Linked DNA regions of Caenorhabditis elegans. The protein of the gene in region 1 interacts with the protein of each later gene in a pairwise test. Each region holds a gene or a part of one and is shown on either strand. Other genes may lie near its edges.

Evidence for each region.
Region 2: the proteins of lfi-1 (region 1) and C05C10.5 interact in a two-hybrid assay, tested with the Caenorhabditis elegans proteins (one large-scale study listed by BioGRID).

Annotation. Positions count from the first base shown.
Region 1 is NC_003284.9:4,979,331-4,984,245, forward strand, and holds the start of lfi-1 (Rootletin-like coiled-coil domain-containing protein), read left to right. Parts: upstream 1-1,909; 5' UTR 1,910-2,165; intron 2,166-4,232; 5' UTR 4,233-4,253; coding exon 4,254-4,566; intron 4,567-4,734; exon of another isoform or gene 4,735-4,736; coding exon 4,737-4,875; intron 4,876-4,915. Other genes in the region: ZC8.6 (Phosphatidylinositol 4-kinase type 2), read right to left, coding at 61-264.
Region 2 is NC_003280.10:9,937,219-9,940,980, forward strand, and holds C05C10.5 (uncharacterized protein), read left to right. Parts: upstream 1-1,821; 5' UTR 1,822-2,008; coding exon 2,009-2,050; coding exon of another isoform or gene 2,051-2,054; intron 2,055-2,095; coding exon 2,096-2,199; intron 2,200-2,247; coding exon 2,248-2,589; intron 2,590-2,645; coding exon 2,646-2,796; 3' UTR 2,797-3,214; downstream 3,215-3,762. Other genes in the region: C05C10.7 (uncharacterized protein), read right to left, coding at 925-1,192, 1,237-1,329, 1,384-1,617, 1,668-1,717; ufd-3 (Ubiquitin fusion degradation protein 3 homolog), read left to right, coding at 3,543-3,587, 3,633-3,762.

The DNA.
Region 1 (4,915 bases):
TTTCATATTACACAAGTTGTTCGCTTTTTCTTTCTACAATTCCAACAAAAAATTGCTCACCTTTTCCGGTAGTCCAATTCGATGAAATCGTCTTCCAATATTTGGATATCTTGATTGAATTCTCTCCTTCGTCCGTGCTTTCGCCCGGTCAATACGGTCATAGTAGAAAGTTGGAGCCGCCAGTTCAACCACCCCGGTTGGTGGTACGATTCCCAGCTTGAGCTTCTCATCCACAAGTGAAGCTCCAACTTCTGACAGGTATCCCTGCAAAAAGTAATCAGTTAGTCTTGGCTATCAAATTGTAAACATTTATGTATATCATGCATTCTATATGCTTCGGGATTTGTATGTACTTGACACCCCTCTTCCAAGTCCGCCTGTATAACCATATAACCAGCCAAATCGACACATCTACGGCAGGAAAATGGACGACGACTACACATAATTATTTCAGTAGTACGCTAAGCACTCATGCGCCAACACTACCAACAACCTAGGCCCTCCAACAACAGCAGCGCATCATCGAGTTGAATATTATTTCATCGTCCTTCTTTCCCCCGCGATGTGTTGTTCTTTCAAAGTCCATTGACCCGAAAAACCGGTAACGGCAACATACATACACATACACTTATGCCAAAGGGAATCATTACACTTCGCAAATCATTCAGTTTGTAATCCAAGAAGATCTGCGGATTTTTCGTTGTTTTGAGTAATACGTTTGAGTCATTTTCACATCAGAATGGGATAAATGTGCATCGTTACAAAATTCTTGCCACATTTTCTTCGTCGCAATTTTTGCTCTTCGACCGACTTAATTTCTAATTCGCATTCTTTGACAACCTTATTTTCGTCTCCCTTATGTGCACGTTTTCAACAACATTTTGCTCTACTAGAGAGCCTTTTTTCCCTTCATCGACACCAATTTCAATTGGCTGCCATTTCGAGAGCAGAGAAAAGTCATTGACTATGTTGTTTTCTGAGAATCGAAAATGAGTGTCGTGAAAAAATACGATGAGTGGCGGCGGTCAGCGCGGCGCAAAGGAAACCGGCGGCTCACAATTGCTTCGGACCAAGAGAGTAGCAATTATAGGAGTGAGCGAAACATTGGCAACACTGAGCGAGAGAGCAATTCTATTAAAGTCAATGGGCGAATCGGGGTGCGAACCAGCAGCACCTTTCCTAGAATAGCAACCAGAGCCAGTATTCTCTCGTCTCCTTCAATTCTTTTAGGTTTGTTCGATTTGAAAAATGCCACGAAAAATTGTTTGTTTTTGAAGACCAGATGTAATTTGGGATAAACTTTTTGTCTTAAAGGTGGATTGGCTTCAGTGGTTTAAAGCTGCTCATGTGGTGCCAAAATGCCAAAATATCATTGTAAAATAACAACATATTTCTTCTAATTTTCTACTCTAATTGGACTTTAATTATTTGTGTTTAAACATTCTAGCATACCGTAGAAACTGATTTTTTATTCAATTTGGAACTTTGCCTAAAACGTTGAAAAGGTGTTTTATTATGATATCTGATTTGTTTGAATGATTATAAAAAATTTAGATAAAATCCCCACTGACGCTATTCCACCTTTGAGGTCCTTTCAGTTGCAGTCTTCCCGTTTTTTCCAACTTTTGAAAACAATTTCCAAAACGGGCATAAAACCCCTGCAACGCCAAATCCCCGGGAAAATCTTGACAATGGTCGTTTTTTGGTGCGTGTATGTGGTCCGTGTCACTTTTTTGGACATGATGCCAGCCGGGCAAAGGACGACATGCCCATCAAACTTTCAAGCCAGTTGTCCTCCTTTTTTAGTGTGTGTCGGCTATCCTTTTTTGCAATTCTCGCCACACACACACACACACACACACCATCCAACAACAACTCTTTGAACCAAAGCAACAAACATTCTCTCCAGAAATCAATAGTGACAGGGTGCACATACACGCGCCAACCGGCGAACTCCTTTTTTGTCTTCTGGTCGCGCAAGCTTGACAAAGACATAGAATCAGCAGCGGCGGAACAACGAAAAAAGACACGTGAACGATTGAAGCAGACGAGAAGAGAAGAAGAAGAACGGCATCTGTTTAACGAGGGTAGAAACTTTCTCTTCATTGTGCTCGCAGCTCAGCCAATCACCTGCCCTTTCTATTCTTTTCTAAAACACAAATCCGGTAAGGTTTTCCTAAAATTGATTCATGGTCCCCCCAATGAATTGACATATGCATATATATCATCCAGCTTGGCAGCAGCTTATTTTCCTAACGTGAAGGTCGGCACATTTTCTCTCCCTCTTTCATTTTCTCGTTCAACGCTAGAAATAAATCGAAAGAGAATTTGAGTTCCATGTTTTAGGCGACATTCGGTCCCCTGTGAGTAGGAAAAAACATAATATGTGTTGTTTCGGCAATTTTCTTGTTCAAATGTTAGTGGGTGGAGAAGTAGATAAGGGTATTTCCATCACCTTATCAACAAAAAGCTTGTTGCGGAATCAAAGGGGGTTAAAATAACAGTTCGCCTTACTATCGCGATGTTTTTTGTTTCGAAATTCAAAAAGTGTGAAGTGAGTGTAGAGGATTATGTGTGAGACCGTCTTTCAAAACTAATGTTGTTTCCTCAAAATTTATACTTTTTTAGGGAATTAAATCTAGGAAAAAGTATACGATGTTCGTATAAGTACTCAGTCAAGCTCTACTTCCAAACAACTTCCCACTACTCATCCACCATTCTTACGCAACTTTTCAAAAAGATAGCAGCCATCATTAGGCAGTTTCCCAGAATTGAAGTGAGAAAGAGAGAGAGAGAGAGAGAGAGAGAGAGAGAGAGAGAGAGAGAGAGAGAGAGAGAGCACGGCTCAACCGCGGTCTTGTCCTTGCTGGAGCACAACGATCGGCCAACGTCGTCTTCTTCCCCTCTTCCGTATTTCGTTCTGGTCGTTTGTTGTTGTCGACAACAACACAGAGAGGGCGCCCTCCCAGATCGATGGCTCAAGCCACCAGAGTACGCGCGCCCCACTCCAAAGAAGGCGTGGCCCGTGGCGATGGGCAATGTTGATGTCGTCGTCGTCGTGCTCCACTCGCTCTTCTCCATCTCTCTGGCTCACACTCTGTTTACTTGTTTACCTCTTGCCTAGAAAGGGGAATGAAAAAAAAAGAGCAGGCCATCCGCGCGAGCCCGCTCAGCAAAAAAGTCGCAATTGTCCACCCTTCCTTCTCTTTTTTTTCCTCTTCGAAATCGGTGGAAAACTCCAAGGAAGCTCTTGTTTAAGTCATATTTACTATACTTGGTAAATAGGAAATGCAATAGTCACTAGTCACTGGAGCAATAAAATAATGTGTGCTCAATATTTTTCGAAAAACAAAAACAATTGAAGAATTTGTGTTCTCGATTGTTTTCGACACTGCCTTTTCCTCTACTAAAAATTCCTAGTAGCTAAATTTTCAACTTCAAAATTCACATGACTAGTGTACATACCTTTACTCTATTGGACTCTTCCCCCGGTTGCTATGCGACAAATAACGATTCCAGCTTACCCGCGCGCCCTCTCTCTCTCCTGCTCAATCTTCCCGCCTCATTTTTATATGTACATGTATATATTTGTCAAAAATTGGATGGGAGGGGGGGCGAACAAATGAAACATGCAAACAAAATACGTGTTTACAAGACCTCCGACCTACCGAATGCTCACACTCTTCACGACTTTCTTTTTTGAAATTCGATCTACTCAAAACATCCAGAGCGCGCATCTTTTCTCGCTTTCTAGCTCTCTCTGGCAACATGCCCTCCTCGTACACTAAGTCAAAGAAGATTTGAGATTAACTGAGATTAACTATTTCTTCAATATTTCTCCTATAATTGTGAATTTGTAAGTTCCAGTTACAAAAAATAACAAAAAATTTCAACTTCAAGTTCACTTGCGATTTCAATTTCAACATAAGTTTACCGCATTTTTTCAACATAAGTTTACCGCAGTTTTCTAAACAATCTTTTCAAGGTTTTTCGGGGCATAAGAAAAGAGCGTCGCCTTTTCTTTTTTCCATCCACCACATACTTCAATGAGGTGGAATGAAAACAGACTAGTTTCACTCTCTATTCCAACTGTTGCCATCTTCCTCGAAAAATAGAGAAAAGACGACCTCCGCGTAAACAATTTCCAAAACCTCAAGCAAGCTGCCAAGCTGCGTATTCCGGCGTCCTTATTTCGCTTTCCCCCTCAACATTGGCGGAGATAACTATTGCAGCATGCTGATGTGCTCCATTGGATGTTCTTCAGCTGTGGCGTGAATAGCAGCTCCCCAGGTCGTCAACTAGTTGTGAGCGAGTCGGTTTCGGAAGATAATCTACACAACCCATCATCACACGCGCTCCGAACCCTATCCCCGGTTTCACCACCGACAGCTAATTCTAGTAGTTCAACTAGCAGATCTTGCTCACCAGTTGTTCGTGCAGAAACTATCGTTGCTGGCAAGTGGACGCATATATCTGGAAAAGTTTCTGTTAGGCCATTGACGCCTTCTGAAACCGAATCGGTTCTTGACCGTCAACGTCAGAAAAATCGTCGATCTTCTAGAAAAGGTTTATGTGTGCTCTTGATATGTTTTCTTTATGTTTGACTGTTGCAATTTTGAGAATGCACCCGACTTGTAGATAGTTTGAGAAAAATTCAATTTTTTTTAAAATTTGAACCCTTTTTGCTCACTTTCAGTAGTTAGAAGTCTTGATTCATCTTTCTATTCCTTTTATAGACAAGCTCAAAATGTCGACTCACGACGATACTCGAAGCTCTGGTGGAGGAGACGGAACAATTCATATTCCGTCGGCAGATGCCAAGGAGCCAACTCCGGAGAGCCCAGGCTCTCGTTCCAACTACGGAGAATTCTACTGGTATGTATAAATTTATCAACTTTGCCGATGCATGCGCTTT
Region 2 (3,762 bases), on another chromosome or scaffold:
CCGTAATAACGCGAAGAGGAGTGCGCTTTTAAAATGTACGGTAATTTCAAACTATCGTTTCTGTATGATTTTCATAGATTTTTTCACAGTTTTTCAATTATCTCAAGTATTTCAAAATATTATCAAGAAAACTAAAACAAAACAATAAAAACAGTTAAAGTTTAATGCGAGAAAAAATATAAAAATTTTGCTGCAACGAAATTTTAAAACTACAGTACTCTTTAAAGGTACACATATTTTTTCAATTAACAAACTTTGCAGTGTCGAGACCGGGTTCTGTATTTTTAGTACAAAAGTTGCAAAAATAACGCGTCTGGGTAAAATTTTCAATGTTAATTCCGATGGGGCTCTAGAAAAATCATGATAAATTCACTGAACTAATAAAAATTTAGAAAACTGTTATAAAATCTTAATTTTTAGAGGTAGAATTGTCTAAAGCAAAAAAAAAACTAAAAACCATCAGTAGCCAATAGTCTGAGCGAGTGTGTCACAACTTGAGTACACAAAAACGTTTCTTTTTCGCATTTTTTGTCTACTTTTTATAGAGACGCAGACAGAAAATCAGGGAAAATGAGAAGTGAAGTTAACTGAAGGTCTGGGAAACACGTGGTTGTGAGACTGGCGAAAAGTTTTGAGAAGAAAAATTCGGGTGATATTTGGGAGGAGTTCTGCCTTGAGAAGTTTGATGTTTGAAGTGTGATCTGTGATAAGGATGGGAGGGCAACAGAGACAGGTGGCCAGGACACAAGTGTGCTACTGACGTTAGCTTCTTTTTAAATAAAATTTTCAAATGTAGTTTACTGTCATTTTAGCGAATTGTACAATTAAAAAAATATATATAAATCCGTACATAGTTACGAATAAGAGCAATTTTAATAAAACATATGTTTTTTTTAAATTTTTATTCAAGATTTAAAAGATAACTTAACAAAATCTGCGGTACATAAACCAACAAATAGGAATGACGGCTAATGCACCGGAAACGTATAAAAGTTTCGAAAATTTGGATATAATTGGGGTCTCATCTTGCGCTTCTTGTGTAATCTGGTCCTGAAGATCCTCCACGTCGATCAGCATGATTTTAACAGTTGACCGGAACGCTCGGATCATTTGAAGAAGATTCTTCACATTTTGAGAATCATCAAAGCCCAAATCACGACGTTGTTGAGGAGAATATTCATCAAGGAGCTGTCTTAAAATTGACAATTGATGAAAAGTTTGATTTCCAAGACCGACCCGCAATGAATAAGTTGTCGCTTCATTTTGTGTACTCCCATTTCGGATTTTGTGAGGACGTCGTGGAGACGAATGACGCATACTGACTTTTCTCTGGAAAAAGGCAAATTTAATTCTTTATAAAATGTATACTTTTAAAAAACGCACAGGTTGTTTTCAGGGCAAGCTAGGCTGTTGAAAACTGTACTGGCATCCCAATCCAGAACTTCCGACTCTCCAGCTTCTCCAAACGCTGTTTCTTTTGAAAGTACAACTGGACTTTCTCCCAGAAATGAGCCAACAAACTCGGATTCGAACTTCCTTGGAACCTCTTCCTTTTTGATGATTTTTGGAGTTTCTTCTTCGACTATCAAGAATTCTTTTACATGGATCTGAGGTGATCTGTAAAAGTTAATATTAGAATTATTATTAGTTATTAAAATAAAACAAACCTTAGCTCAAATCCTTGAAATTCTGAATCAGAATCGTCAAAATCTGACATTTTTCAGAAAAGAGTGTTGTAAAACAAAAGAAATTTAAAAAAACTGCGAAACTGTGTATTTTTGCGTCATCGTGTTTGAACTATTTGTGCGCGCGCGTTTAAAAAAAAACAAAAACAATTATTTTCGACCTACTTATTTTATTGATCTGCCTCTATTTTACCGATGAAAGTGTATCAGTCGAAAATTAAAATTATGCGCGGGAAAATTCTGATTTTTTCATTTAAATTTTCGCTTGTCATTCATTCCACAGACCCATTTTTTCTCCCTCTCACCTATTTCACACACTAATTATGGAGCATTTTCATGGAAATCGCTGGGACCAGTTGCGTGCTGTGAGTTCTTGAATTAAAATTCGTTTACAATATTTATATTTTCAGGTAGAAGCTGATATTCTGTGTCCCCCGCCTGCAGATCCATTCCAAATCTTCCCCAGTGGATGGACCAGAGCCTCGGAGCTCAGCGAAAAGGGATGGAGAGAATTGTTTGTCCCAAAATGTTATATAATTGTTTCTATAATAAGATTATTCAGGCTTGACCGCAGAAGATCGCAAAGCCCGCCACCACGTGAACCATCACCAGACGTCAGAAGAGCGATCAGACGGACACCGCCGCCACGTGTCAACCGTGTGGCTCCGATTCGACTTCCAGAGCGGCGTCCATTGCGGCAATTGAACGCCAATGACGCCAGAAGACCAGCACAAGACGCTGCAAATCGCATAAATCAAGAGAATATGCGTGCAGGAAATATCGACAATGGGCAGCCACGTCGTCGAGCACTCTCCCCGACACAATTGCCAGGAGTTCGTGCGATTCCAAAGGACTTCAATCGCTTCTTCCGTGGTCTTCTGACACCTGGAGAGTTCTTTGCCAAGTGAGTTTGGATTTTCTAGCTGTTTTTAGGCTCAATTTAAATATTAAAATTTTCAGATCGCAAACCCGGTATCTTGGGCCATTCGACGAAATGCCAACGGAGGATACACTTCCAGCAGCCGACGAGTACATCATTCTGCAGCGAATGGGACGACTTCCGGATAGCGGTAAATCAATCTTCAGACAGGTCGGCAATCTGTCTACATGATTCCCAGGACTGAAATTGCTGCCCCTCAACGTTTTATCCACATTTTTCCAGTTGAGATCGCATTTTTATCTTTAAAAAATTTACTAAACCTTATTGTTGCCATGAGTCATAATTGTGATATACCTATAATTCCTTAATATAATCAATCTTCTTGAATCCACCCCACTCATTGATTAGTTGTGTGCAATAATAACTTTCGTTTAATGTTTGTAGTCTATTGGTATCGCTGTTTTAGCGTTTTTATGTTGTTTTATAATGAACCAACACCGTTTCCCCATTTATACTTGCGTAGGACAAAAATAAATCAATTGTCTATCAAACTCGGTTCCTTTCTTGTTTTTTTTTTGAAGAATTAAAAAGGTATCACTCCTGTTTCGAGACTATCTAGTGCGATGTAAATTTCGCTCTCAAAAAACCTACTAAATTAAAAAAAGTTTGCCGATAAAAGTATTATTTATTTTTAATTATTGAATTTTTAACACTCTTTGCAAAGTCTTGATGTTCTGTGAAACTTCAAATATTTATTTAAGCGAATCTGAATGCCCTTCTCCAAAAAATTGCATCCTATCAGTGTTAAATTTTGAATTCCCGCAAATTTGCCTACTGCGGGGTCGTAGAAATCCTCTTCCATGTGGCGTTAGTTCGGAGCATCGTTTGCAGTTTGTCATCAAAACTTTTTCGGATTTTTCTCAATTTCGTTATATTTTTTTGTTGATTAACTTTAATTAAAAGCTATTCTTCAGATAATGGCAGATGACGGTCTCGGTGACGTGCCAATGGAAACGGAAAGTGTGAGTTTTAGAATTTGCCGAATTGAAGTGGAATTTATTTTGCAGATGCCACAGTACACAATTTCCCATGTTATTGAAGCCCACAAATCCGACACAAAGGCTTTGGCAGTTACTCAAGGCGGATGCTTGATATCGGGTGGTCGTGATGAGACGGTTAAATTTTGGGCAAAAAAAG